Linked DNA regions of Coturnix japonica. The main gene of each other region encodes a partner of the protein of the gene in region 2 in a complex. Links are inferred from orthologs where the notes say so. Each region holds a gene or a part of one and is shown on either strand. Other genes may lie near its edges. The genes, in order: CTNNBL1, PLRG1, BUD13, CWC15, RBMX2, CWC22 and SNIP1.

What was found.
Region 1: PLRG1 (region 2) and CTNNBL1 share a complex: the UniProt entries of both Homo sapiens proteins name them as parts of the PRP19-CDC5L splicing complex. The link is inferred for Coturnix japonica from reciprocal best matches to the Homo sapiens genes PLRG1 and CTNNBL1.
Region 3: PLRG1 (region 2) and BUD13 share a complex: the UniProt entries of both Homo sapiens proteins name them as parts of the minor spliceosome. The link is inferred for Coturnix japonica from reciprocal best matches to the Homo sapiens genes PLRG1 and BUD13.
Region 4: PLRG1 (region 2) and CWC15 share a complex: the UniProt entries of both Homo sapiens proteins name them as parts of the PRP19-CDC5L splicing complex. The link is inferred for Coturnix japonica from reciprocal best matches to the Homo sapiens genes PLRG1 and CWC15.
Region 5: PLRG1 (region 2) and RBMX2 share a complex: the UniProt entries of both Homo sapiens proteins name them as parts of the minor spliceosome. The link is inferred for Coturnix japonica from reciprocal best matches to the Homo sapiens genes PLRG1 and RBMX2.
Region 6: PLRG1 (region 2) and CWC22 share a complex: the UniProt entries of both Homo sapiens proteins name them as parts of the minor spliceosome. The link is inferred for Coturnix japonica from reciprocal best matches to the Homo sapiens genes PLRG1 and CWC22.
Region 7: PLRG1 (region 2) and SNIP1 share a complex: the UniProt entries of both Homo sapiens proteins name them as parts of the minor spliceosome. The link is inferred for Coturnix japonica from reciprocal best matches to the Homo sapiens genes PLRG1 and SNIP1.

The regions. Positions count from the first base shown.
Region 1 is NC_029535.1:8,632,946-8,636,445, forward strand, and holds part of CTNNBL1 (beta-catenin-like protein 1), read left to right. Parts: intron 1-1,394; coding exon 1,395-1,532; intron 1,533-2,186; coding exon 2,187-2,259; intron 2,260-3,500. UniProt on the Homo sapiens protein: Component of the PRP19-CDC5L complex that forms an integral part of the spliceosome and is required for activating pre-mRNA splicing.
Region 2 is NC_029519.1:18,056,570-18,060,534, forward strand, and holds the start of PLRG1 (pleiotropic regulator 1), read right to left. Parts: upstream 2,801-3,965; 5' UTR 2,772-2,800; coding exon 2,688-2,771; intron 1,524-2,687; coding exon 1,417-1,523; intron 874-1,416; coding exon 731-873; intron 507-730; coding exon 453-506; intron 346-452; coding exon 252-345; intron 1-251. UniProt on the Homo sapiens protein: Involved in pre-mRNA splicing as component of the spliceosome. Component of the PRP19-CDC5L complex that forms an integral part of the spliceosome and is required for activating pre-mRNA splicing.
Region 3 is NC_029539.1:4,398,579-4,402,173, reverse strand, and holds the end of BUD13 (BUD13 homolog), read left to right. Parts: intron 1-55; coding exon 56-149; intron 150-485; coding exon 486-591; intron 592-970; coding exon 971-1,109; intron 1,110-1,330; coding exon 1,331-1,515; intron 1,516-1,666; coding exon 1,667-1,748; intron 1,749-2,085; coding exon 2,086-2,179; 3' UTR 2,180-3,095; downstream 3,096-3,595. UniProt on the Homo sapiens protein: Involved in pre-mRNA splicing as component of the activated spliceosome. As a component of the minor spliceosome, involved in the splicing of U12-type introns in pre-mRNAs.
Region 4 is NC_029516.1:165,900,258-165,904,367, forward strand, and holds the start of CWC15 (spliceosome-associated protein CWC15 homolog), read left to right. Parts: upstream 1-1,310; 5' UTR 1,311-1,333; intron 1,334-1,367; exon of another isoform or gene 1,368-1,479; intron 1,480-2,674; 5' UTR 2,675-2,682; coding exon 2,683-2,813; intron 2,814-4,110. UniProt on the Homo sapiens protein: Involved in pre-mRNA splicing as component of the spliceosome. Component of the PRP19-CDC5L complex that forms an integral part of the spliceosome and is required for activating pre-mRNA splicing.
Region 5 is NC_029519.1:1,522,345-1,526,517, reverse strand, and holds RBMX2 (RNA-binding motif protein, X-linked 2), read left to right. Parts: upstream 1-1,373; 5' UTR 1,374-1,422; coding exon 1,423-1,427; intron 1,428-1,509; coding exon 1,510-1,625; intron 1,626-1,773; coding exon 1,774-1,825; intron 1,826-1,903; coding exon 1,904-2,033; intron 2,034-2,155; coding exon 2,156-2,336; intron 2,337-2,750; coding exon 2,751-3,196; 3' UTR 3,197-3,704; downstream 3,705-4,173. Other genes in the region: RAB33A (ras-related protein Rab-33A), read left to right, coding at 840-1,295; SLC25A14 (brain mitochondrial carrier protein 1), read left to right, coding at 4,014-4,077. UniProt on the Homo sapiens protein: Involved in pre-mRNA splicing as component of the activated spliceosome. As a component of the minor spliceosome, involved in the splicing of U12-type introns in pre-mRNAs.
Region 6 is NC_029522.1:13,093,576-13,097,075, reverse strand, and holds part of CWC22 (pre-mRNA-splicing factor CWC22 homolog), read right to left. Parts: intron 3,402-3,500; coding exon 3,144-3,401; intron 2,627-3,143; coding exon 2,498-2,626; intron 1,476-2,497; coding exon 1,307-1,475; intron 919-1,306; coding exon 865-918; intron 56-864; coding exon 1-55. UniProt on the Homo sapiens protein: Required for pre-mRNA splicing as component of the spliceosome. As a component of the minor spliceosome, involved in the splicing of U12-type introns in pre-mRNAs. Promotes exon-junction complex (EJC) assembly.
Region 7 is NC_029538.1:3,338,362-3,342,617, reverse strand, and holds the start of SNIP1 (smad nuclear-interacting protein 1), read right to left. Parts: upstream 2,801-4,256; 5' UTR 2,777-2,800; coding exon 2,625-2,776; intron 2,543-2,624; coding exon 2,446-2,542; intron 1,590-2,445; coding exon 1,006-1,589; intron 345-1,005; coding exon 80-344; 3' UTR 1-79. Other genes in the region: DNALI1 (axonemal dynein light intermediate polypeptide 1), read left to right, coding at 2,931-3,011, 4,012-4,148, 4,231-4,256. UniProt on the Homo sapiens protein: Required for pre-mRNA splicing as component of the spliceosome. As a component of the minor spliceosome, involved in the splicing of U12-type introns in pre-mRNAs. Down-regulates NF-kappa-B signaling by competing with RELA for CREBBP/EP300 binding.

The DNA.
Region 1 (3,500 bases), on a different chromosome or scaffold from region 2:
TGCAGTTGGCTTTACAACACTGCTAACTAGACACTGTTTCGTAAACTTAAGTCATTCTCTCATTGACAAACTGGGTTCCTTAGGAGGAATGGGAGGAAAGCATTTCATCACCTGTGCTTTCTGTTTTCAATTTTGGGAGGCAGCAGTAAACAGCTCGAAGTCACTGAATCAGATCAGTGTATGGTGAGTGCTCACTGTGCTGTCCAGTATGTAGGGTTAATCTTCTTCTTGTGCCTGAAAGACTCTCTCTGTGATTACACCAAGGGGTTTGGTTTGACGAAACAAGAAGATCTGGTGGCTGCAATCAGCTTTGGTGCTGGTGACCTTGTGAGTGTGTTTGCCTGGAGCATGTGTGCGTGAAGGAAGCGCTCTGTGAGCGTTCCAGGTACAGTGCTCTCACCGGTGATGGCTCTAATGAGAAAATATTGCTCTGCTTGTGCGTGCCCACCTGCCAGCCTGCTGCATAATAAATCACGCGGGCTGCAGCGAGCTCGCAGGGTGTGACAAGCTGCTTCCTTTATCTAAAGGCAAAAACAAAAAACAAAGCCCCGAAATGCAAAAGGTCACGTGTGCCATCAGTGATTGCACTGTTGGTTGCTGAGAAAAGTCAGGGTGGGCTCACCCTGTGACGTGGATGGGCCCCTCTCTGCAGGGGGCTGCTCAGGGCTCGTTGCTGGGTTGTTTTGCTGCTGTTGTGAGGCAGCAAACGTTCTGAGCCAGGAGAATGGAGCAGCCTCCTGCATTCTGCCTTTGGGCTCTGTGTGAGCCTCTTAGCAAAGCACCCTGTATGCAGAGAAAGGAAGAACCGTGCCATGGAAGCAGAGCTCTTCTGCTGGTTGCAGATGGAGCCTCAGCCCCATTGCTCTGCCCAGCCAATGGCTTTGGAAGAGAATGGCTGCGAGTACTGAAACTGCACTTGTGCAGGAGTCAAGACCTGGTTTCTTATTCAGCAGTGAGTGATGAAGTTCAGAGGCCGGCAGGGCTTTAAGCTGCTGGAGTCGTGTTCTGCACTGCTGAACAGCTCCCTCAGATGGCCAGCAAAAGAGCACAGGTTTTGTTCCACCTCGACAAAGAACTGGTTTGTTTCCTATTCACAGCCTCTGATCGCTTGGTTTAGAAACGTAACTTCTGTGCTGAAATTAAGGTGTTAGTTTGTGGATGGACACCCTTCACACCAGCAGGGGCAAAGCCGTGCTCAACACTGAGTGAAATGTTCTGTGGATTTAAATATATTATCAAAAGAAGTACTTCTTTGCTAAGAAATGTATGGGTGTTAATGTGTGGGGAGAACAGAGCACTTCCTAAGAAACTGCAGCTATCGCCAGCATTTCACCACGTGTAATGGGAAGGTCTCTGAGACAGCCTTGACCCCTTTTTTCTGCACTGCTTTCCAGGACATGGTGCGCCGAGGAGAGATAATAGATGATGACATGGAAGACGAATTCTATCTCCGCCGCCTGGATGCTGGTCTCTTTGTTCTACAGCTCATTTCCTACATCATGGCAGAAATCTGTAATGCCAATGTCCCCCAGGTAAAGCTATATACAGAGCTAGTGCATCACCGTGCTTCCATCTGTGATACAAACAAGACTAATCCTTGCAAATATTGCGATGGTTGCATGATATGTTAACAAAAAATATTGTATGATACAAGCAAGGCTATCCTTGCAAATATTGCCTCTTAGTCTTGTCTTAATTCCTTCTTTTGGGGAGGAATCCTGCTTGTTGCCTTGTGTCCATGCAGCTTCATGAAGTTACAGCAGTTAGGAGGGCAGTGGTAGGTACAGGAGCTGATGGTCATCACTGAGTTCATGCAGACTGCCGAGAGCAAGGTCACAGCTAGAAATTGGAAGGCCCTGTTTATATCACTGCTGGGAGTGCTGAAAGGGGGTCTCTCTTGGAAGCCTTCTCAGACACAGATTGCAGATGGGGCTTTTCCTCACCTCTGTGAAATACTGCATCATTTTCTGGCGTGTGTGTGTTGGGGTTTGTGACTGTATTTTGTGGTTGCTTGTATGTGTGCCATGTACCTTCCTTAATGCTTTAAGTGCTCTGGGACTGTGGGCTAGCAGGGCAGAACTGGGTTTTGTGGTTCTTGTGGTTTCCACTCAGAAAGAGCAGAAAAAGTGGGGTTGTGCATGGCTTTATGTTCTGCTGAAGATTCCTTCCTTCTCTTCCCTGATCAGATTCGTCAGAGGGTCCATCAGATTCTGAACATGAGAGGCAGCTCCATTAAAATTGTTCGACACATCCTGAAGGGTGAGTTGAGATATTCCTGTGCGTGTTTCATTCTGTACCAGGGACAGTTTGGTCATCACTTTGTAGGATGAACCTTCACACGTCATTCTCCCTGACTTCAGCAGCATCTCTGAGCAGCAGTTACCTTGTGAGGTCTGACCAGGGCTGGAATCCCTGATAAGAAGCAAGCATTGCCTTGGAGTTAGGATGCTTGCTGTTGTCTGCTGTCACGTCACGCTACAGCACTTCATGCTGCTGTCAGCTGCAGACTGACTGGCCCACACTAGAATACTAGAGTAAATATTTAAGGGAAGTGTGTGTGCATGCTAGAGGAAAGAATAGTGGAGTCGCATCTTTTATTAACATGGCCCTGCTCTTTACCATCTGCACAGTATTGGTATCCGTGGTGTATTTGTCTTGTTCTTAGTGTCAGATTAATATGGATTACAGCATTAAAGTATCCTCTGTAGCATTAAAATGTAGCTGTTGTGATTTGCAGTCCTGATTCTAAAGTACTGCTTGTTACTTTGAATGCTTATGTTGAATTAGAGTAGCGCTTATTTGAGCTGTGTCTCTCACCTGTCGCCTGCTGTCCTTCAACAGAAGCAGCAGTTAGACTGAAGGGGAAGGGACGGGGCTTGGGGCTCTCAGTGCAGCCCAGCCTGAGCTGCCAGCACTGATCCATCACCCCTGGGAGCACCTCTCAAGGAGGCTGTGCAGGTCTTAGAGAGGAGGATTTCTCTCATGAAGAGAAGGGAAAGTTGTCAGCATCCTTGGGGCTCTGGGCTTGGGGCTGTGTTGTTTCAGTGTCTCTGCTTTCTTTGGGAATAGCAACCATAGCAGGTATAAAAAAAGAGTGATTTTTTGACAGCATGAGATTACCTGGAGCTGCAGGTAAACTCTTTGGCCCTTATCCCTCCCCAGAAAGTTCAAGCAATATTTGATGATTCCTGCCTCCAAACGCCCGTTTGCACCTTAGAACATGGTGCATTTCTACTTCCATACATGACTTAGGCCATGGGTACTTGAGAGCCTTACCTGCACCTTATGTGCCAGCCCACCTCGTGTTCCCCACTGTGCCTGTTGGTTCACATGCAGCTGCACAAACACTTCATCCAATTCCTTCTTTCACAGACAGTGACTTGCATTGTGAAACTTTAGTAATGGTTTTATCATGCCTGCCGAGCTGCTTAGAGAAAGTACAGATTGTACAGCAGTGTCAGCAGGGATGTGTTCGCTTCCTAAAGAGACCTTAAATGGCG
Region 2 (3,965 bases):
TAATGACAGCCAAGAAAGAACACTGCATACACCAAGATGATATCTGACCAACTTAAAATCATATCACAGAATGGCTTAAGTTGGAGGGGATCTTAAAGGTCATCTAGTTCCAACCCCCCTGCCATGGGCAAGGTTGCAAACCATTAGATCAGGTTTTCAGGTATTTTATAAAGCTGAATATTCAAAGTACTTTGTTTTGACTTGTAGTTCTTGTAGATTATGCAAATGTTAATGAAGTAATAAAGCAGTACCTGGACTGAGAAGCAGGAAGAGATACTGCTAAGGACTGAGCTGCAGATTCACTCGGCATCCTCTGGATCTTAGTGTCTGCTGTCAGAGCCACACCTTAAAAAAAAAAAAACAAAATTAAATTAAAAAATTAAAAAAATAATTAAAAAAAAAATCTCAGTTTAACTCTGAAATACCTGATTTAAACACAGAATTTTACTTACCAGGCCCAGGTGGATATGGATGTGTGCCAGTTATCACATACTCCAGTTCTTCTCCTAAAGACCAACAAAATAACGCATTCAAACAAAACAGTACAACAGAGTAGGTGGTGCAAAGCATCCTCAATTTGACAACATCCTCAACCCTTATTAGCTCTCTAATACCCAAATATAGCACACACTAGCATTACCTTAAAACTTGCTTGTTTTACTAATGAATTAAGTCTCCTACTGTTTCCTTGTGAAAACAAAGAACAAACATGGTACTAGGAATAACAAACCTTCATTTCCGGAATACTGTTTATGTCCATATGGATCCCCAGTGGCTGGGCCTCCTTTCTCTCTCATGTTTTCTTTAAGAGTAGGCATGTGCAATACTGAGCCGTACTCAGTACGCAGCTTGACTGCCATCTTTACTTTGTGGCTGTTGGAAGAACAGAGCATAATCCTGATTAAATCCTGATTTTTGAACTGCTACTAAGTTTTGAAATATTTTAAAAAACAGGAAACCTTTCATACAGCTAACATTACAATCTTCATGCTTTTCAGTTCCCTTAACTGCTAATTGTACTGAACACCCAAACTCCTGATTTGGATAGGATTGTTCTCTATAACTTCCTGAAGGGAGGTTGTAGTGAGCTGGGGGTTGGCCTCTTCTTTCTTGTCATTAGTGATAGGACTAGATGAATGGTTTCAAACTGTGGCAGGGGATATTCAGGCTGGACATTAGGAACTACTACTTCTCAGAAAGGGTGGTCAGGCACTGGAATGGGCTGCCCAGGGAGGTGGTGGAGACACCGACCCTGCGGGTGTTCAAGGAACGACTGGATGTTGTGTTGGCTTAGCGGGAGCTAATAGTAATGTGAACGGTTGGACTAGATGATCTTTTAGGTCTTTTCCAACCTTGGTGATTCTATGATTCTATAGAACAATTGCTAACAAAGTAAAACTCAGCCACAGCACTCACCTTTCATCATCTAATGGTACAGGTTTGGCATTATCAGCTACAAACATATCATGGGTTCTCTTCAAAGATCTGAACACAAGTGTGTGCACAGAGTGCTTCTGGACTTCCTAAAATAAAGGAAAGCATATTTAAATAAATTTAGCCACGTTTAAATGAAAAACTGAAATCTGAAAAAGAAACTGAGTAGCAATTTCAGACTTGCATATGATACAACACTATTCCCATCAAACACTGCTCCTCTTAGAAACTACAGATTCAAGTATATCTATTAGTTGTTTTAATTCAATGCCTGCTCAAAGTAAAACCCAGTTTCTCAGAAATGACAAGCCAGAAAAAATTTGCACTATCATCTAAAAATACATGAATACGTTTATCTTCCATGTTTTCTAGATGCTTTTATACCTAAACAATAAAGTACCTGATTCTGAAAACATTCCTTTATTGCACTACCTCCATAAAAATGAACATCAGTTTCTGCACAGTGTCACCCTATGTAAGAACAGTGATGTTTACTATAAGAAGTAATCCTGGGATCAAATAAGACAAAGCCTCTTGTCCTTTTGAAATTACACATTACTAAAAGCTAATAATTGTTAATATCTCAGTCAGGGCCAAAATAGTAGAACTTAAAGCTATTAGCTTATATAGAATATTTGTTTAGGACCGCGCAATTCAGGTTTTAATTCCTACCTTCCTCTCAAGGCACAATAAATAAATAATTAGAGATGTGATAATCAGAGTATGAGCCTCTTTGTGCTCGCTCTGTATGTCACAAATAGGAGCAACACAGAGTGGAAGCATTAAGAACTTCGGGCTCTAGTTACCATTCAGCTGCCCAGCCTCCACACTCCATTAAGCTGGGGCTTCCTCCACTAAGCTCTGCTTTCCTGCCCTGGACTCTGCTTACCCACTCATTGCCCCATTCTGCCACACTTCATACTCCCCTAACTCAGTAGGGCCCACACAAAACTTTTAGCTCAGGACGGTCCTGTAAAATCTAGATATCAAATAAAGAACATCTATAATAGGGCTTGGGAACTAGAAATTCCATGCAACTGCAAAAAGAAACAGGAATTACAGTAGCAAATGTCTGCTTGTCGCAATAAAAGCAATAGGTAACTCAATACCTCCACAACAGGAGGTGAACAACTATAGATATCTCTGGACAGTGATGACACCCAGTAAAAGAACTGTTACGTAGGAGAACTGCACAGCATCTTCTGTGCTCCTACCAACAACACTCAGTAACACAAGAACTGAACCGCCCTCACCTCCACCATGGCGCCGTCGCTCCCCGCTCCCCGCTCCCCACCGACAGCGATGGAGACACGTCCGGCTCCTGCTCTATACCTCATAGGAAGTGACGCAAATCGGGTGCGCCGGGCTGCATTGAGGAGCTTGCAACGCCAGGGTGCGGTGTTGCACTGGCGTTTTGTTCTTGGTTTGTTTTAATAATAATATGTTGGTTTGTTTTGTTTTGAACTTACAGTCTCGGCACTTTGCGTGCTGTCGTCTGCTGAGTGAATCGGGCTCGTTTTTAGTGCATCTTGAAAGGAAAACCTCCTTGAAATAGAGACCTTTGTAGCAATCCGAGAAAAGAAAGATCTGTGTTTTGTAAGAAAACTTCACTTACATGTGCTACTTATTACAGCATCCTTAGATTTTACAGAGGCCTGTAATTACACTCTTTTTTTAAAGACCCCCCCCCCCCCAAACGTTTACATCTAATTGAACATCTAATTCTACAGTAACCCTGTCACAGTGTGACATGTACAACGCCAGCGGCTTCCAAGGACGTTTCTAAATCAGCTGCCAACAACTGGATTCCTTTCAAAATCACATTTACTGGCACAGCTTATCAGTGGCCCAAGATGGCTCTATTCCCCCTTGGCCCAAATTACCTCTGTGATGTGTTCAGCCTAAAGGAGCCAACATACAAGGATGGGGTTTGTGTAAAGAGTGTTGCACCATGGGCAGATGATTTGGCAAAGCAAACACAAGAGGCGGCACATGAAAATTCATTCCTAAAAACACACACATACACCTCTGCCAGTAAGTAGCTCTCCAGGACAAAAGCAGTGTACAAAGAGATGTTCTGGAATACCATTTCGGAATGCTACAAAGAGATACCGGAATACCATCAGGTCAATGCTTTCTTTTCGCAGTTCTTCATAGCAGATTTGTTGCATTATCAACACTACGTGAGTTCAGGAAGAGTTTCTCATTAACCATGTGAGCTGGGGAGGAAGTGAAGAAAACACAACGAAGAAAGATGTTCTGTTTGGAGACAAAGCCTCCTTGACACCGTTTTAAGAAGAAGATTAAGCCATGTTCTTGGTTGTTCATAAGGCTTTATCCAGTCGTTATACAGTGTCAGCCTAGCTGTAACAGTTGCAAGCATCAAAGAAAAGTCCCATCTCACACCCAGCAAGCCAACTAATGGAGATTAGGTCCTGCTCCCCAAATATTTGTTATATTCATGTATGTTTTCCAATATACCTTGCTCCCCCTGCAGTTCCAGATTCTGACTCATGCTAGAAGCATTTCTC
Region 3 (3,595 bases), on a different chromosome or scaffold from region 2:
CTCTTAAATGTGTTTAGAGCAAGTCTTCATGCTCCAATTTCTCTCATCCTCAAAGGGCTCTGCCTTCTGGAAAGGGTCAGCGTGGTTCAAGGAGTCCCTCCAATCTCTCAGATCATCGCTACCCAGATGAGAAGGGATCTCCCAAGAAGGTAAGGGGTTTGTCTTTCCGTCTGTGCTGAAGATTGCTTCCTCTGATAGCAATCATTAACAGTGTGATGGCTTACAGATGGTAGAGCAGATATATAGCTTGTAAATGCAGCTGTGCCACACTGTCAGTTTGCCATAAGACCACGTGTGAGGTAGATGGAAGATGAGCTCTGCATGAGCACTCTGTATTTCTGGAAGTCTGTGGAAGCTGTTTGCAAAGATGGCAGCAAAGTGGCTTTGTAACAGAGCTGCCTCTCGTGTAACTTCCCCTTATCATACCTGTGAGTCACTGGGCAGCTCTCAGCCAGCAGTAAATGTGATTCTTGTTTGATTTGCAGGCCAAGATGATGTCTGGGGTCAAAGCTGGTTTGGTGTCAGCTGACGTGCTGCGGAAAGAGCAGCAGGAGCTCAGGAAGCAGGAGAGAAGTAGCAAGCACTTGGAAGGTAAAAGTCTGAAACCAGTGCACAGACATCAGCTTTTAGTCTGCTTTTGGCTGCCTGTTAATGCTGTATCAGGGCATGTCTTAAAATGCTGGTAGTAAGGGTGTTGATGGAGAGTGTCTGTGTTGGCTGGCATCCAGGCATGCTGATGAATATACACAGGTAAAAGCCACTGGGTCTCTAAAATAGAAATTTATGAGTGGTGATTTCAAAGAGGTGCCAATGAGACAATTGTGAGGCTTTTGTGTCTCATCTGCCCCATCTGCTATTCCTGATCTGAAGGAGCAGGCTGTTACACCTATAGCTCATTGCATGAGCTATGGAGTGGTTTGGAAACTGAAATATTCCCACGTGAGTGACTCAGGATATCTGTTATCCCTAGAGGAATCCCGACACACGGAAACCATCTTCCGCGACAAGTCAGGCCGCAAGAGGGACCTTGTGCAGGAACGTCTTGAGCAGAAGCAGAAAGATGAAGCAAAGTTGTTGCATGATGAGCAATATGCCAGATGGGGAAAGGGGTAAGGTGTCTTGGTGACATGTCACTTTACAGGTTGCAGACTGGGGGTTGGCAATGAGTTTTGTGCCTGGGACCAGGTTATTTTGTGTGGGATTACCCTGTCTGTTGCTGGGTGCTTCTCAGGGATGCTACACACAGTAGATTCTGATCAATACTACAATTTGAGCAGATGGCAGTAAATTATTCCTTAGTTTTGAGGTGGTACTTTGTATGTGTTTTTAGATTAGCACAGGAAAGGCAGCAGCAGCAGAATGTGGAAGATGCAATAAAAGAAATGCAGAAACCATTGGCCCGTTACATTGACGATGAAGATCTGGATCGAATGCTGAGAGAACAAGAGAGAGAAGGAGACCCCATGGCTGAGTTCATCAAAAAAAGAAAAGCCAAAGAGAACAAGGAGAAGAAAGGTATGGAAAGCTGTGCTGGTGCAGGTTTTAATGCCCAAGGAGCATAGAAATGCAGCTGCTGTTCAGTGAACAGTGTGAGGTTGCTGTGGCAGCTGAGTCCTGAAGATTGCATTGTAGTAACCAATGTCTGTATTGCTGTTTTTGTCTCTAGAGAAACCTAGGTACAGTGGACCAGCACCTCCTCTCAACAGATTTAATATATGGCCTGGGTATCGCTGGGATGGGGTGGACAGGTAGGTATTCCTGATACACTGATGTCATTGAATGGTAGTAAAACTAAATGAGCTTTTGCCTCAGAGAGCTTACAGTGAGTGAGATGCAACTTATTCAACCTTAACACTTCTCATGGTTATGAATGGCTGGTAGGGACATGCTTGTCTGGGACAAAAGGGAGCCAGGTTCTGTTCTGATCTGTTGTGGCACTGCCTGCTGTTTGCCACAGCTCAGAGTGGAAACTCAGCTGGAGGTGTTGATGCAAAAGTAGTGGCAAACATGTGATGTCATTTAAAAGCTTTGTGGCTTTAGTAGATGTGCACGGTAGCCCATGGTCTTGTTGGTGTTATTTTGTAGGTCCAACGGATTTGAGCAGCAGTTCTTTGCCAGGATGGCCAATAAGAAGGCAGTTCAGGAGCTGGCATACAAGTGGAGCATTGAAGACATGTAGATAGAAGAAATAACCATGTGAAACAGCACGACTGAATTGAGATCTGCCTGCTACCACTGCCAGAGCCAAAAGTAACGGCTCCTCTGCCTGGACCAAGCACTGTTCTTGGCATTCAGTATCCCAGTGGATTGTCTTCTTGGAAGCAAGGCTGTGTTTAGAGGAGAGCTGCTGGAAAAGGATTTTCCTGCCAGCCAGAAAGGACCAGTGCCAAAAACTGGAGTGGCTGCTGCCCACAGAGGAACACTTCTGCTCCCTGGTGTTCCTTCATGAGGTGCTGCAGACACTGGTGTCTGACCCACTTATTTCTTTACTAATAAACTGTAGAAACTGTGTTGAAATGTTCTATGCCAAATGCTTTGTCCTCTGAAGGCAGTTGACAGGTCTTCAGATGTCCTAAATCTCAGGTTTATTTCATGGTGGAAGCATGCTGGGATTTAAGTCATGGAGGGTTAATCCTATCTGGTGTGTTGGCCTATTGCAGCACACGGTTGTGGTTTCAGCTATGGCTGAGTTCTTCCAGAGGGTGTTTTTTGCTCTGAAACAACTTAATACTGTGAGCTGATTTACCTGTGGGCTCATGTTATGTCTGCCCCATGTTCTCCATGTCCTTGCTAATGAGCCCAGAGAGCTTCTGCTTGTTCAATGTTGTGTAACTCTTAACCCTTCTGGTTCCTGGAGTCTTTGGCTTGCAGTGAAGTTAGCACAGCAGAGCTTCCTGTAGCCCTTATGGGAGCTGTGCCAGGTGGGTCAGTATGTGGCAAGAAGCTGCTTGCTGTACATATAACTCTAGTTCTCTACTAGAAATGGCTGAATGAACAACACGCCATGTTATATTTGACAGCAAAGTCTTCAGAAGCTCCAGCAGCTCCTTGGGGGTCAATTTCTTGTGGCAATAAACACGCAGAGGCCATTTAAACTGTTTCCCTTGGCCATTATTTTCTTCAGAGTAGCTAATGGTCATGGATTAGTCCCTACAGCTTTCTCTCTGGACAGCCTTGCTGATGGCTCTTAGCGCTGCTGCCTGGGGGCTCGCTTCAGCACGAAGCATAACCTCTCTCTTGTGATTAGATTTGTCCAGCTTGCAGCTGGAGGCCAAGCAGAGCGCTGCGCTCCATCCCTGATTGCAAGAAAGCATTTCTAACTAAAAACAACGGGTTGGTAACAGACATTGTATGGAAGGGTTACATAGCAACAGCATCGGAAGGTTGTGAGCCTGAGATGCTCTACCAATGAGTGTCACCACTGTACCTCACAACTGAACGCCACCGCTGCAAGAAGAAGCTCCCAAGCTGCTCCACCGGACCCTTTTGTTTAGAGAGCATGGATCTCTTTCTTTATTGTCTTAAGCTGTTTGTTTGGTCTGTTATCTGAGCTTCAGGTGGCAGTTTATTGATGAGCATCCAGATGAAGTGAAGC
Region 4 (4,110 bases), on a different chromosome or scaffold from region 2:
CTCAGGGACGAGCTTGTGATAGAGAGCGGCAGAACTGTGTGCTCCTCAGTGCCACCCATGCCCCCAGCACCCTCCTCCCTCCCTTGCTGAGTGCCTTTCAGCTGACATCATGTTGTGGGTGGGGAACTGCTCCAGCACAGCCCCACGGGCAGCAGCTCCCCCAGCCCTCCTGCCCCACTGTAGGCTCCTCTCCACAGGCTGCACCCTGGCCTGGGGCTGCTCCGCCTCCAGGACTCTTCCACTGCTGCACAGTGGGCTCCTCCATGTCTGCATACGGAGATCACAGAATCACAGAATGACCCGGGTTGGAAGGGACCTCAAGGATCATGTAGTTCCAACCCCCTGCCTGGCAGGGCCACCAAACATACACCTTTACTAGATCAGGTTGCCCAGGGCCCTGTCCAACCTGGTCTTGAACACCTCCAAGGACGGGGCATCCACAACCTCCCTGGGCAGCCTGTTCCAGGGCCTAACCACTCTCCTGAGTGAAGAACTTCCCCCTGGTATGATAGAGTGCGAGTGCGCGTTGAGGATGCCTAAAATATCTTTCCCTCTTTTTAATCTCTAAAACATGTCCCCCTTAGTCCTGCTATTATCAGCCCTTTCGAAGAGTTTACTCCCGTCCTGGGAGTAAGTTCCCTTCAGGTATTGAAAGGCTGCAATGAGGTCACCCCACAACCTTCTCTTCTCCAGGCTGAACAAGCCCAACTCCCTCAGCCTGTCCTCATAGGGGAGGTGCTCCAGTCCCCTGATCATCTTCGTTTCCCTCCTCTCGACCCTTTCCAAAATCTCCATGTCTTTTTTGTACTGAGGGCTCCACACCTGGACACAGTATGAGAGATGCGAGATGTGCCTGTGGGCTGCAGGGGGATGGCTCGTTCCCCTGTGAGCCTCTCCTGGGTGCTTAGGAAGGGCCTAGTTCAGGTTCTGTGCTTATTTTTGCAGGGAATTCTTGCTGACTCGTGGATTTTTCTCTGTTGAGAATAGTCACAAGGTCTCTTCCTCATTGCAAAGCCATTGGCAGCCATCAGGAAGCAAAGGCAGACAGTGGAGCAGGAGCTGTGACTGAGCACAAACAGCCAAAGAACCAGCGGGGTGGGAGGCAGCCGGGAGGAGCTGGGATGACTCTGTAAGCACACAGAAAAGCAGCAGCACAAGGGTTCTATGGCAGCACAGCAGGGTGTGTGTACTGCTCACAGTCATACACGACTTTAAAGCACAGCTCACACGCAGTGCTGCTGTACCTCAGGGCGGACAGCAGGTGCCACTCAGGCACCAACAGCGTCTATTTCCACTTCATTATCGAACATGGCGGACTCAATTCCGCACTGAGGTAACAAGTTTTTCCGCCTTCCATCTCTATGGTAGTTCCTCCTTCCGCCGCTCCGCTCTGTGGTGGCTGCGCGGCGCCTTGTGGGTAGAGGGCGGGATGATGGCGGTGGCGTAGGGCCCGGCTGCTCAGCGGGAGGAGACCCCGAGGTCAGAGAAGGGGGATTGAAGGGATTAAATCGGGGCTTCTGAATGTGGAGGGTCGGCCCTGGGGTGGTGGGCAGCCTGGGGGGACACCGGGAGGGAGGTTGAGGCCGTGGGGCGGCCTGGACGGGCCTGGGAGAGCGCCGATGGAGGCGGCTCAGCCGAGCCGGCGTTGTGCGGCACTGACGGGGCTGCTCCAATGCTGCGCTGATGGAACCTGATCGGAGCAAACCCCTGGTTGCCCCCAGCAGCTCAGGCTGCACAGGGCTCATCCAACCTGGCCTTGAGCAGGGATGGGGCACACAGCTCTATGGGCAGCTGTGCCAGGGCCTCACCACCTTTTGTATGTCTCTTATTTAAGTCCTTAGGCTGTGCTTATGGATGTGTGTAGTTTCGTTTAACAGACTGAAGATGGCACTGATGGGTCATCCAGGGTGGTTGGTTGGTTTGATTCTTTTGTTTTGTTTGTTTCTTGGTGGACTGCCCTAAACTTTTGGCTCTATGGTTTGGGTCTGCGTGGCCTCCAGCTGCTTTGTGCAGTGCTGAGCACTTCTTGGCATCAGTTATATGGGAGCCATAGTGGTGAGGCTGGTCTCTTTTCAGTAGTGTGTTGGGACAGGACTAGGGGTAATGGGATGAAAGTACAGCATAGGAAGTTCTGCACGAATGTGCACAAGAACTTCTTTACAGTGAGGGTGACGGAGCACTGGAACAGGCTGCCCAGGGAGGTGGTGGAGTCTCCTTCTCTGGAGATATTCAGGACCTGCCTGGACGCCTACCTGTGCGACGTGGTGTAGGGAGCCTGCTTTGGCAGGGGGGTTGGACTCGATGATCTCTAGAGGTCCCTTCCAACCCCCACAGTTCTGTGATTTCATTATTAGATCCTGTGTTTTTTTCCAGAGGGGAAAGAATTACTCTTCTACCAAGATATAAGGATAGGAGACTGGCTCCTGGCATTTTATCCACTTCTATAAACATGACCTCACATTCTTGATTGAGTCTCTATCATCTTTCAGGCATGTTGGAAAAGAAGCTGTCAGTAAAAGAAGCTCTTAAGCTTTAAGGCTCATGCACCAGTTGATAATTTGTATTGTGTAGTGGGATTTGCTGTTGCTGCAGCAGTTCCAAGAATGACGTAGCTTCTGGTGAATGGCTTTCACTTTAAGTTATAGTAATGACTGTTTTTTGCCCTTGACTCTAGTAACTAAAATGACGACAGCAGCGAGGCCAACGTTTGAGCCTGCAAGAGGAGGGAGAGGAAAAGGTGAAGGAGACTTAAGTCAGCTATCCAAGCAGTATTCCAGCAGAGACCTTCCCTCTCATACTAAAATCAAATACAGGTAAGTATCGTTATTGTCTGTCTTATAGCAAAGCAGCCTGGAGCTGTTTTGTTGTTTTCTTTCTTTGTGATGTGACCAACACTCTGAATTTCTTTCACGTTAGATATTTGTTTGCTTGACATTAAGCAGACACAGAAGCAGGCTTAGGAGATTGAGTGGGTTGCAACTGATTTGGAAGGTTTAGTTTTAGTGGTGTCAATAACTGCTTGTGGAAGGGAATCAGGAGAAGGTAATCTTTACAGATTAAGCATTTCAGGCAATGGAGTGAAAAGAAAAGCATTGGGAACATACAGAGACAGCTGAGCTAGAAAGGTGGTGTGACTTACAAGATGGGATAGGAGGTATGAAGTTGAGTATGTCATATATTGGCAAAGAACCTGGGGAAGAGCACTAAGAAGAGGCAGGGCAATGTGTAACAGCACTCAGGCATTAGTAAGTATTGGAAGAGCTGATGTTAAACACTAGAAGGGTTCTAGAAGAGCCTGTTGCTTTAACTGGTGTGAAAGATAATGGGATTTTATATGAATACTATCCTGTGTTTGGAATGCTTAATAATTTATGTTCTTTTAAGATAGCATGAAATCTGGAGTCAACATGCCACAGGATTTAACTGAGTTGTGTCAGCCTGAAAATAGTCTTTTTTTCTAGCTTAAACTGTTGCTTGGGTTTTGCTTTCTTAGTGCAGATATTTACCCTTTCACTGCTTCCCTTCCACCCATTTGAATAACTTTGAAGGTAACATGGATACGGGAGGTGGGATGTTCAGAGATCACCAAAAGCAACAGCACAAAATGTGCTATTAAGGGAAAAGTGGCTGGTGGTCTGTCTCTTTAAACAGAGCGGGAGTGTGGAGCACCAGTCTGTTGTTCTGAAATGAGTGTGTGGGAAGAAATACATACAGGAATATACGATGTGTGTGTGGTAACGAATCCCTTTGAGTGAGTGTGTATGTGTGTGTGAAGGGGCATTAAGCATCTTAAGTTCATTCTCCCAAATATCAAATACAAAGTTGTCTTTGCTAATTTGCCAAGGGCTGCATAATTGCAAGAAAGATTTGGTATTTCAGTCCCACTCTCCCGTGCCTCTTTGACAAAAGGCCTGGGGGGGATTTTTGCAGCCATGTCAGGGATTCTGAATTCAAGTTTTTAATTGTAAAAGCAAATGAAATGCTTCAGCATAAAGACAGCTTGTGCACGCAGTGTATTTCTAATGACTGGAGCCTGGGTTTCTTTCAGACACTCTTATTTCCAAACCTGAGTTCACAGCAAGGTGAAAGGAATTGCTGCATGTTGTTATT
Region 5 (4,173 bases), about 17 Mb from region 2:
AAACCACCTCCCCGTGTGCTCTGACATTGTGTCTGTACTCCTCTCAAGTCACTTGTCTCACCTTCCACCTTCCCTGTACTTCCTCTTTGTACCTCTTGGTATTTTTGCTTGACTTCCTCTTTGTTCACATGGGCAGCTCAGAGGTGGAGGCACATCAGTATTGGGTAGCTTTCTTTGGTCCCATTTTCCTATAGGTCCTTGACCCACAGGACTCTTTCAGAGCCACCTCTTGGTTAATGAGTTGGCTTTACCTTCACAGCTGCCCTGCTGAAGCTGGCCCAGCGTAGCAGCTTCCCTCGCTGGCTCTTCTATCACTTGAGTTTTGAAGTTGGAATCTCACGCTTTAAGCTGTGCTGTGTTGCCCCTCCAGCATACACTGGAATGGCTGAAGGCCTCCAGAAGGGCCTAAGCCTGCAAACATGAGACTCCCATCTGTCTGCAGAGGGCACCTTCCATTTACTCTCCCTGATCAGGCTGGAGCTGCACACTGCCCTGTCTCCATGGCTCTCGGCTCTTTAATCCTTATTGTTTGCCTGGTTCCTCCCCCAGACAGAGCTCCATGCAGGAACGCCGCTCTCTTTGCCCTGCCTCCTTTGTGGATACAGAGCATCATTTCAGTGTCCTCATACAGCACAGCATTAGGTGGGTTGGTGTGTTAGTCTGTTCTGACACGAGCAGTGCTGTGTGCAGTTTGACAGGGATGATGGCTGGGTACACCAACATGGGGCAGGTAAGTCACCGGGCTGGGGCCTTTCACCCCTGTAGCACAGCAATGAGCAGAGCAGCAGCACAGCATCCTGCAGCAGCAATGGCTGCTCACGCCGTGTTGTGCCCCATAGGTGCAGGTGTGGGACACGGCCGGGCAGGAGCGGTTCCGGAAGAGCATGGTGGAGCACTACTACCGCAACGTGCACGCCGTGGTCTTCGTGTACGACGTCACCAAGATGGCGTCCTTCACCAACCTCAAGATGTGGATCGAGGAGTGCAACGTTCACGCCGTGTCCCCCCTGGTCCCCAAAGTGCTGGTGGGGAACAAGTGTGACTTGAAGGACCTGATCCAGGTGCCGTCCGGCATGGCTCTCAAATTCGCCGACGCTCACAACATGCTGTTGTTCGAAACCTCGGCCAAGGACCCTAAAGAGAGCCAGAACGTGGAGTCCATCTTCATGTGCCTGGCCTGCCGGCTCAAGGCGCAGAAGTCGCTGCTCTATCGCGACATGGAGAAGCGGCCGGGCCGGGCGCAGAAGCTAGAGCCGTCACGTGACGCCCACGGTAAAAGCGCGTGTCCGTGCTGAGCGCCGACCAATAAAGCTGTGCGGAGCCCTCGGACTCGTTGCTTTGCTTGGCGCGCATGCGCGGCCGGGGCGGGGGCGGAGGCGGGGGGGTAAGGGGGGCGCATGCGCAGTGCGCGCCGCCGCCGCCATGAAGTAGGTTTGGATGGGGGCTGGGTGAGGGGGGGGTGTGCGACCGGCCGGTGCTAACGGTGCTAACGGAGTGCATCGCCCCCAGCCCGCTGACCAAAGTGAAGCTGATCAACGAGCTGAACGCGCGGGAGGCGGAGCTGGGCGTGAGCGAGGCGGTGTCGTGGCACGCCGAGTACAAGGACAGCGCGTGGGTCTTCATCGGTACGTGTAGGCCGCGATGGGGGGACGGGGAGGGAGGAGAGAGCAGGGCTGTGGTAGGCCCTGTGCTGGGCTCCGTGCTGGGCTCCATGCTGGGCTCCGTGCTGGGCTCCGTGCTGGGCCTCCATCGCTGCCCTGTCTCCCCCCGCAGGCGGGCTGCCCTACCAGCTGACAGAGGGGGACGTCATCTGTGTGTTCTCGCAGTAAGTTCCTACCTGCTCCATCCCCATCTTGCTGTGCCCCTCCAGCCCTGCTCTGTGGCTGCTGATGGTGTGTTCCAGGTACGGGGAGGTGGTGAACATTAATCTGGTGCGGGATAAGAAGACTGGGAAGTCCAAAGGGTTTTGCTTTTTGTGCTATGAGGATCAGAGGAGCACCGTGCTTGCTGTTGATAACTTCAATGGGATCAAGGTGAGTGATGGAGCTGTGTGGCTGCAGCAGCTCCTGGAGCGCTCAGAGCACATCAGAGAGAAGCTCCATCGGCTGCTGGCCCCACAGCACACGCTTTGCTGACTACCTGACTCCTGTCCTAGATCAAAGGCAGGACGATCCGAGTGGACCACGTGGCCAACTACCGGACTCCCAAGGACTCCGATGATTTAGATGATGTCACAAAAGCCCTCCATGCAAAGGGCTGCGGAGTGAAAACACCACCTCATACGTCGTCAGATTCCTCCTTGGAGGATGAAGACACGCCAGCCCAAAAGCAAAAAGGTGAAATGCATTTCTGCCCATCTTTGCCCTGGGTGGGAGGATCTGTGTGGGCTACAGGGACTCTTAGCTCAGCGTACAGCAGGGATAGGGATCCTCTTGAAAACAGATGCAACCCGAATGTCCAGGCTTATCCTCTGTGATCTGCGTCACACTGCCAGTATTTATCTATGATCATTCACCCCCTGCCTCTGGAGATCCTTATTTTGCAGGTTATAGTGGCACTCTTCCTGGAGAAAAGGAGTTGGGCTGGGCTGCAGGGATGTTGCAAGGGGGAGGGGGCAGGACAGTGGGGGACAGGGAGAAGAAAGGCTCCAATAAAGCCTTTCTCTACAGAGCTCTGGTGCTCTGTAGCAGAACTGGTGGGGATGATGCTTGCAGGACTGTCCATCTCTAAGGATGACCTTTTTGTTTCAGATAAAGAGAAGAATAAACATGAACGGCAAAAGCAGAGCTCTCAGGCTGCAAAGAGAGCAGCACCTGCCGAAGAGGCACATCCGAGAATCAAGATTAAAAAGGAGAAGGAAGATCCTGGCTACGAGCGATATGCTGCTGGTGGGGGTCAGCAGTCCTGCAGTGAGTCTGAGAGGAAACACGTGAGCAGGACGCAGCGAGATGAGGAAGAGCAGAGACACCAAAGGTCGTCGGGGAGGAGAGGGGAAAAGAGCTCCCAGGAACACAGAGGGCAGAACAGCTCACGGGAAGAGAGAGGAGAGGTCAGCAGGAAGGGTGAGGGACACAGCAGCTGGCGAGAAGAGTGTTCTGAGGGAAGCAGATCCAGGCACCGGCGGGAGAGCAGCAGCAGAGAGCCCCATTCCAAGCACAGGGAGCGTGGATCCACCAGAGATTCCAGCCGTCACTGAGCCCTGGAGTGAGCACCTTCTGGGCCACAGCTGTGCTCTGTGAGCTGCACCGGGAGCCTGTCTGAAGCCTCCTGCTATGGCCCTAAGGGTACCACAGCTGTGTCTCGTCTCACACACACCACTCTGACCGGTTCACTCCTCAGACAGGTTGCTCTCAGTGCTGTGGGCTGTGATGTGGGCTCTGCTGCTGCCTTGCTCGGCCCTTCTGTGCAGTGGCATCACTCAGACGGTTGTGGAGGGGCTCACGGCACAGTGTGGGCAGTGGGGTGCTGAGCAGCAGGATACGGACACCGAAACTGCCCACGTTGTTCAGGGGGAGCGTCCCTGTCTGCAGTGGGGCGGTGGGTGCTTGCAGGCGGGCACGGTGCTTTGTGCCCCCAGCCCGTCCTGCTTCCTTTGTTTATGTGATGGATATCAGAGGCTGCTGAGCCATCGCAGTTCATGGCGTTTTTTGTTTTAAACTCCTTTTAATAAAAATCGATCCTTTAACCAGAGGAGATGACTGGGAGCACTGCTTGTGTCCGGTTGTGCTGTTTGGACTGAGCATTGATGGCAGCTGACACAGAAATGGGGAGCGCACAGCAGTGGATCTGAGCTGCGCTTTGCTCTCGGGGTGGTTCCGGTCGGTCCCGTGCCTGCAGCGCTCTCCCGTCTCCTCCCCGCCGTTCTCGGGCGGTGCCGCTGGATCCCAATTGCGGGCCGAGCTGCCGGGTCCGCCCGGCTGGGGGGCGCAGTGCTTCCCGTTCCGCCGCGCTTCCGGTTCCGGGTGGAGTTGAGGCAGTGTCCGGCCCGGCGCGGCGGCGCGCCCCGCCATGCCATGTCCGCGCTGAACTGGAAACCCTTCGTGTACGGCGGGCTCGCCTCCATCGTGGCCGAGTTCGGTGAGCTGCGGCGGGTACCGGCGGGTACCGGCGGGTATCGGCGGGTACCGGCGGGTACCGGCGGGTATCGGCGGGTATCGGCGGGTACCGGCGGGT
Region 6 (3,500 bases), on a different chromosome or scaffold from region 2:
CAGTAGGCCTTTCAAGAAGCAAGGTGAGCATTTCCAAACACAGAACCTCGTGAGCCTTTAGAAAGAATATCAGTAAAGAACTAGAATTTACAACATTTCTTTGAGGATGTCACAATAGTTGTTTAATCAGACAATGAAGGCAATACACAGGAAAAAAACTAATTAAGAGGTAGTCAACATTTTACTCATAATTTAGCTATTTATATTTACACCATCTTCACAGTCAACATGACTATACTTCTGAAGTGTGGCTACATTCTAATAAACATCTTAGTGAAAAAACAAACAGAATTCATTTATACAGATCAAATAAAATAATTCTTAGCTAACCAAAACTAGTTTTAGCAGTGCACAATCTTTCAAAATAACTTCAAGAAGTAATGTTTCAAACTGAGTTATTTTATACATCTGGGATAGAAATCCTGGTAATTCTAACACAGAAGATGGTGGATTAGGGAAAGATACAGATTTGATTCAAATGCAACTGAGTCTGATCCTGCCTACAGACTTAATGATCTTTGTACGAGATTACAGTGCTGCAAGAAAACTCCACTTAGCACCTGTGGGAATTCACTTGCTTGCTAACAGAAGCTATCAGAATACTATCCCAAACATATACAGTTTTGGGAAGCTCTGAGTTGTTAAATACACTGGCAAGAGATGATAACTTCACAGCTACATTACCAGACAAAATCTCTTATAAAAACTCCCAACAACTTACAGCAAGCACTAACAGGAAATATTAACTCAGCTTTCCCATAACTTACAGAAAAGGGGAAGTTTATATAGAGCTACCCCTATCTTGAAGCTAAAATAAGTAGAAATCCATATAAAGTATGAGCAAGTGAAAAGAAAGTAACATACCACATTCTGATTCATCAAATGTGCAACAAACTTCGAAGATGTTAGACAGAGTTGCTGCAAAAGAAATAAATAACGGGAAACTGTAACATCTTACACGGAAGAAAAACCCGTAACTGAGACATTCTATACTACAGCCAAATTGAGTCATGAAAATAACTATTTTGGTGTATTAGTAATTATGCTACCATTAGGACTGCATACTTTCAAGTAAAATATAAAAAGAACATCACATTTCCAAGCTGAAATCAGTAGCCAAGCTTTCACGATGTGCAAATACTACTTTATTTAATGTACTAATGTTAGGTGAAGCAGAATGATACAACACAAACCAGAGGTCTTGGCAGTGTTACTTTGAAATACCTAACCTGGATACACTCAGTACAAGATTAAAACAGAAGAATTACAAGTTTTAGCATGTTGTTTCTTCACACTTCTTACATACCTTATCATTTCTGCGATATCCTTTGCGAAAATTTAGTATCAACCTCTTGAGAATCAATTCACCAATATTTGGAAACTTTGAATTAATAATTGCCACAAGAGCCGCATACACATGGGTAAAAATTGGAGAGGCACCCTGAGCTTGCAGAATGGATCTAGACAGCAATCCCCTGCAAATATACATAAGTTTAAGAATACAGTTTTTCGTATAATAACTTAACGTTGTCATCCATTATGTATCACAAAATAAGATTGCATAGTTTGAATAGTTATAAAGATGCTATACAGTCATTTTCAAATAGTTATTCACTGAACAACAAATGGAGTTTTACAGAATGAGCTGCCTAAATGTGCCCAAGTTTAGAAATCCTTAAACTGATACCTTCTCTTTCATCAGATATTATCTCTATTAAAACTGTATTTTGAAGCAATAAGCATTTATTTTGTATCCTGCAATTACCCCATATTTTTAAAAATTCAGAGCTTTGAAGTTTGTATGACTGTTGTTTTTTTTCTGCACACGGTTGAAAAAAATCTTATCTGTGAGAGAAAAAACAACTGTCCTGCAGTTCTTTATAAACAACAAAGAACTACAATCCAGTAGAATGAACTACCCAAAGAAGCAAAACTAAATTCTAAGAAATAGAAATTTTATTCTCATAAAAGCTCCCTAAAAATAAAAACATACCTAGGTATGATAAAAGCATAATAAGTAAAGCAATGTTTTTTTCAGTGCTTCATTCAGAATAACATTCACCCTAACTATGGTTTGGAACACAACTTATTTTTAAAAGACCACTTTTCGGAGTCTAAATGAAGAGAAGCAAAGGGCTCATGAGATAATAACAGTTACACTGAGAGAGTTGAAAAGTCCGGGAACACAGAAAGAAATAGACAGGCACACTTAAATTTCAAGTCATTCAAGTAAAATCAGTAGATATAGATAAAATAAAAAGAAAACATACTATCTGCTCAACTGACTTATTCTTTCAAGCATGTACTCCCTCCTCTACCACTCTGCTCCCAGCCCCTTTCCTCAAGCAGGGAGCCCCTATGCATAGGAAAATATAGCTAGCCTAAGATAAACTTCAAGGTCAGATTAGTAACCATATACTAAACATGCAGTGATGCAGGAATGAACAATATACATATTAACATAAAAAAAAGTTAGCTCAAATATTTTAACATTTACCTTCCTCGAACAATATTCTCCTGAAGCAGCTCATGAATAATGTTTTCTATATTAGAAACGTTTACTTTATTGACAAGACCATTGATGGACTTCTTCAAGGCTTCCCAACTCATCCTCTGATACGCCAAGCTATTACAAAGGCATCACAAATTAGTAAAGAATAAATTTGTGGCAGCAAAGTTATAAATACAAAAATGTGAAGATACGATATACTAAATAAAATAACTAAGAAAATATTCACTGTATAAACATGAAGACTAGCTCACAATTATACATCAAATGACTACAAACCCACCAAACCAACATGACATGCCAAAATGTAGTTCCCCATATGTGTTATAACCCACAACTTTTGTTTCTCCAGGGCATTAGGAAAAGAAATCCCATTTATCCTCTGTATCCTGCTCTTCTATTAAGAGCTGAAGTGGACAGGATCATAATCTGATTTGTTATTTTTGTTGTTGTCTGTTTGGCTAGCATTTTGCTTTACTCAGACAGGTAGAGAAGGAAGAAGACAAGAAAAATGGCTCATTTTTTTTTCCTGATTAAAAGATACCTCAAAAAGTGTCCCATTTATAACAACACTCCTTAAAACCCTTTATAGTTTTGTTTTTTAGGATGAATTCTAATGCTACCTTCAACTCACCTATTTTTATCAGTTATTTGTTCTTGCATCATCCTGAGCTTGGCGGGTGGAATATATGCACCACCTGTGCGAGTAAGGATTGGATCCACTTCTTCTTTCTTCTTCTTCGAAGTGGCCTCTTCATGAGTATTTGAGCCCTGAACTGTTGACCTCTCTGGACTCCTATGATCAGGGGAAGAGTGTCTTCTCTTCCTCCTTCGATCATAATCTCTTTCCTCCCACTTTTCATAGTATCTGTCTCTCCCTCTTTCCATCCTTCTATAAAGTTAAAAAACAAACAAAAAAAAAAAGATGTTTTCATCTTTTGTTTTTAAAATGAGTACCTTCAAATGAATTGAAAAACAGGTGTCTGTATTC
Region 7 (4,256 bases), on a different chromosome or scaffold from region 2:
ACATCTCCATCCCAATGCATGTTTTATTGTAAAAGATTCCTCTCCCCTGCTCCCCCATCCCCAATTGCCTTCATGTCTGTTAACTATCGGACTCTTCCTCCTTCTCCTCTTCCTCATCATCGTCCTTTGCGTTGGCCTCTGATTTATCAGATGATTCATGGAGAAGGACGTACTCCCTGCTGCTGAAGCCAAACTTCAATACATCCTTTTCTTTCAGTTCGTAGTAACGTTGAGGCTCAATCCTCTGGTTGTTTAGAAAAGTACCATTGCCAGAACCAAGATCAATGATATACGGCTTTACCCTGCGGCCAACTGTGCCATCAGCGCGTGTGTGCTCCACAAGCCTAGAAAACAAAAACAACCCATCAAGTCAATGATAACACATGGATTTTTCAACACATCAGCCCCACTGTTGTAAATACTTAACCATACTTCAAAGATCTGAGCAAGTACAATGAGAATAATTAGACAGGGCACGGAAATACTCAAGATTCTGACAGACTGCTTCACCCCTTAAAGTTATGATCATATAACATAGTAAATCCTGAAGCAGAACAGATGGTTGTTCCTTAAGAGAGCAGCTCTGCCTCCTGAAGCACACAACCCTGCTGTTTATAAAGGAGATCGGCAGCCTTTGTTGGGAAGGAACAAATGAAAAACCCTCCTTTAAACGTTCTTTATTGCCAATCCCACCTGCTAATAACTCCAATTCAGATATACAGGCAGTTCTGTATTTCATCCTGTTGTGTTGTGTTTCTTACTAAAAGTCTAGATATGGTTAAACCAAAAGGAATTATATATATGTTAAGAGTCACGAGGCTGCTTATGGTTAAACAAAAAGGAATTACATATATGTTACATCCATACCTAAATTCCACCTATCTAAAACCATTGAGCAAACATGCATTTTCTAATCTGTGCACATCCAATACGTTCTTTGATTCCCTTTGCACGCAAGCGACCAAATAATCCCCACCTACCAGAGGGATACAGAGCGATACTGACCGGTATTGGAACACAGCGTGTTGCTTTGAGCAGGAGGGATGATCAATGGGGATATCTGCTATCCTGCGGTGCCTGCCCAGGAGATAAGCACTCTGCCTATGAATGTACATGACAGGCAGGAACTCATCGTTTTTAAATGGATAGAGACGCCATCGTTTCTTTGGAATCCGAGCTTCTGGGGGCTCACTGTATTTAATCACAACGCCTCGGAAAGTGTTGGTATCCTCCAGAAGGGCACCAGACAGTTCAAAGCTTGGTTTTTCTTTGTTTACAGCTTTATCTTTTGGTTTGTTATCAGATTGTTTGTGTTCTGGATTCTGCTCAGCACCGCTCCCCTCGTTGTTCTGTCGATGCTCTCGTCTTCTTTCGTTATAGAACTCCCTCTCTGCTTGTTGCTCACGGATGTTCTGAACATCTCTTTCTCTCTCATGGCCTCGACCTCCAGGTCTTTCCTCCTTTTTCCTCCTGTCTGAGTGATCTCTGTGCCTGTCTCTGTCACCGCTTCTATCTCGTCTGTGTTCTTGCTCTGACGTGTGTCTCTGCTTTCTCTCTTCATTTCCTCTGTGAGGATGATCGTCTCGTTCCTGAGGAAGAAGACAGAAAACACATGAAAAACACAGACTGTAACATGGTACGTGTATATCTAGATTTATTTATTTCCTTCCAAAGTGAATTCCCACAACTTGGGCCCAACAATGCAAGGCTGACAGAGAGCAATGCATCATAACATCAGCCTTCAGGGTCAGCCTGCAGGCTGGGCTCACTTAAAGGCACAAATACTCATTTTCTTACAGGAATAACAGGGGCTGGGCTCACTAAAAGGTACAAACACTCAGTTCTTTCCAGGAAAACACGAAGCAGAGAGCAAGGAGATGTTACACTGTAAGACTCTCTCTTCCTTAAGAGTTATTCTAGAGGGATCAGGGGGCTGGAGCACCTCCCCTATGAGGACAGGCTGAGGGAGTTGGGTTTGTTCAGCCTAGAGAAGAGAAGGTTGCGGGGTGACCTCATTGCAGCCTTTCAATACCTGAAGGGAACTTACTCCCAGGAGGGGAGTAAACTCTTGGAAAGGGCTGACAATAGCAGGACACGGGGAAATGGTTTTAAGTTAAAAGAGGGAAGATTTGGGTTGGATGTTAGGGGGAAGTTCTTCACTAGGAGAGTGGTTAGGCCCTGAAACAGGCTGCACAGGGAGGTTGTGGATGCCCCGTCCTTGGAGGTGTTCAAGGCCAGGTTGGACGGGGCCATGGGCAACATGATCTATGGGGTGTCTTTGGGGATCTATGGGTTGTCTGTGGGGCTCTATGGGGTCTGCATGGGGTCTGTATGGGGTTCAGTGGGTCTCTATGGGGCTCTATGGGGTGTCTATGGGATCTCTGTGGGGATCTGTGGGGTCTCTATGGGGATCTGTGGGGCCTGGCCTCTCCCAACGCCATTTACCTGCTTTACCCTCACACCTCCATGGTGCGGACTCCTGCTCCTCCTCCCCCGCGGTGATTTGCTCCTCCGGCCGGATTTACTCTTCCTTTTAGGCGACCTTTAAATCAAGTACACAAGAAATGCACAGAACCTCAGGGTTACGATACAGGGCCGTAATAAGGCCCTATGAGGCCTCCTACCTGCTGCTCCTGCCCCGTCGCTCCTCAATGGGGGGGGATTGGCTCCCATAAGCCGAACGGGACCCGCAGCTCCGTGGGCTGCGCTTCTCGGCCTTCACCGCCATCTCCCCCCTCCTTCTCTCCCTCCTCCTCCTCTCACTCTCAGCCTCCATCTTGCTACCGACTCCCCCCACAACCGGAATTACGTTTTCACATCCGTGTTACCTCTCTCTCAACCACCCGGAACTACATCTTTACCTAACGCTCATGCGCCTTTAGAACAAACAACGGAGCGGCGTTTATAACCATAGCGACCGAGGAGCCGCCATGATCCCACCGCCCGATTCGCTGCTGCGTTATAACCCGCCCATGCTGGTGAGTCGCCGTACTGAGAAGCGATCACCAGAGGTGAGTGAATATGAACCGATATTATGGCCCATGAAGGCCAAAGGAATCCTATATTGTATCAAAACCAGTGTTACTAGCAGCAACAGGGAGGTAATTGTCCCCCTGTGTTCAGTTTTGGGCACCTCACTGCAAGAAAGACATTGAGAATACATTCAGAAAAGGGTTATGAAGCTGGTGAGGGGTCTGGAGCATAATGGGGACTTATAAGAAGAAGCTGAGGGAGATGGGGTTGTTCAGCCTGAAGAAGAGGCTCAGGGGAGACCTTATAGCCCTCTATAACTCCCTTAGTTAGAAGTTAGAAGGGAGGTTGTAGTGAGCCTCTAATCCATGATAGAAGTAGAGGGAATGGTTTTAAGCTGTGTCAGGGGAGAGTCACGCTGGATATTAGGAAGTATTGCTTCTCAGGAAGGGTAGTCAGGCATTATAATGCACTGCCCAAAGAGGTGGTGGAGTCACTGACCATGGGAGTGTTCAAGAAACATCTGGATGTTGTGTTGATGAATATGATTTAGCTGGGAAGTATTGGGAATGGTTGGACTAGATGATCTTCTAGGTCACAGAATGACCCGGGTTGGAAGGGACCTCAAGGATCATGTAGTTCCAACCCCCCTGCCAAGCAGGGCCACCAAACATACACATTTACTAGATCAGGTTGCCCAGGAGACCCCATAGAGACCCCATAGATCCCCCATAGATCCCCATAGATCCCCATAGAGACCCCATAGATCCTCATAGAGACCCCATAGACCCCCATAGAGACCCCATAGATCCCCATAGAGACCCCATAGATCAGGTTGCCCATGGCCCCGTCCAACCTGGCCTTGTACACCTCCAAGGACGGGGCATCCACAACCTCCCTGGGCAGCCTGTTCCAGGGCCTCACCACTCTCCTAGTGAAGTCTTTTCCAACCTTGATAATTCTGTGTTTCTGTGATTCTGAATGGGACGGGGGGAGCCCTCACACCTCACCCATCCTGCTCACACCGCTTTCTCCCTTCAGGCCTCACCGTTGAAGGGAACCCCACAGGCCTCCCCGCCATCAGGCCCTGTCCCTCCGTCCCGACCTCGCACTGCTGCCGCCTCCGCCGCCTCCACGAAGGAACCTCAGGAGATCCTGAACGCCATCCTACCGCCGCGGTGAGCCGGGGAGGGGGGAACAACAAGAGCCTTAACTCAGGACCGCCCCGCCGAGCTCCATCGCTGCTGCTTTCCGGTGCAGGTCATGGGAGGAGGATAACCGGCTGT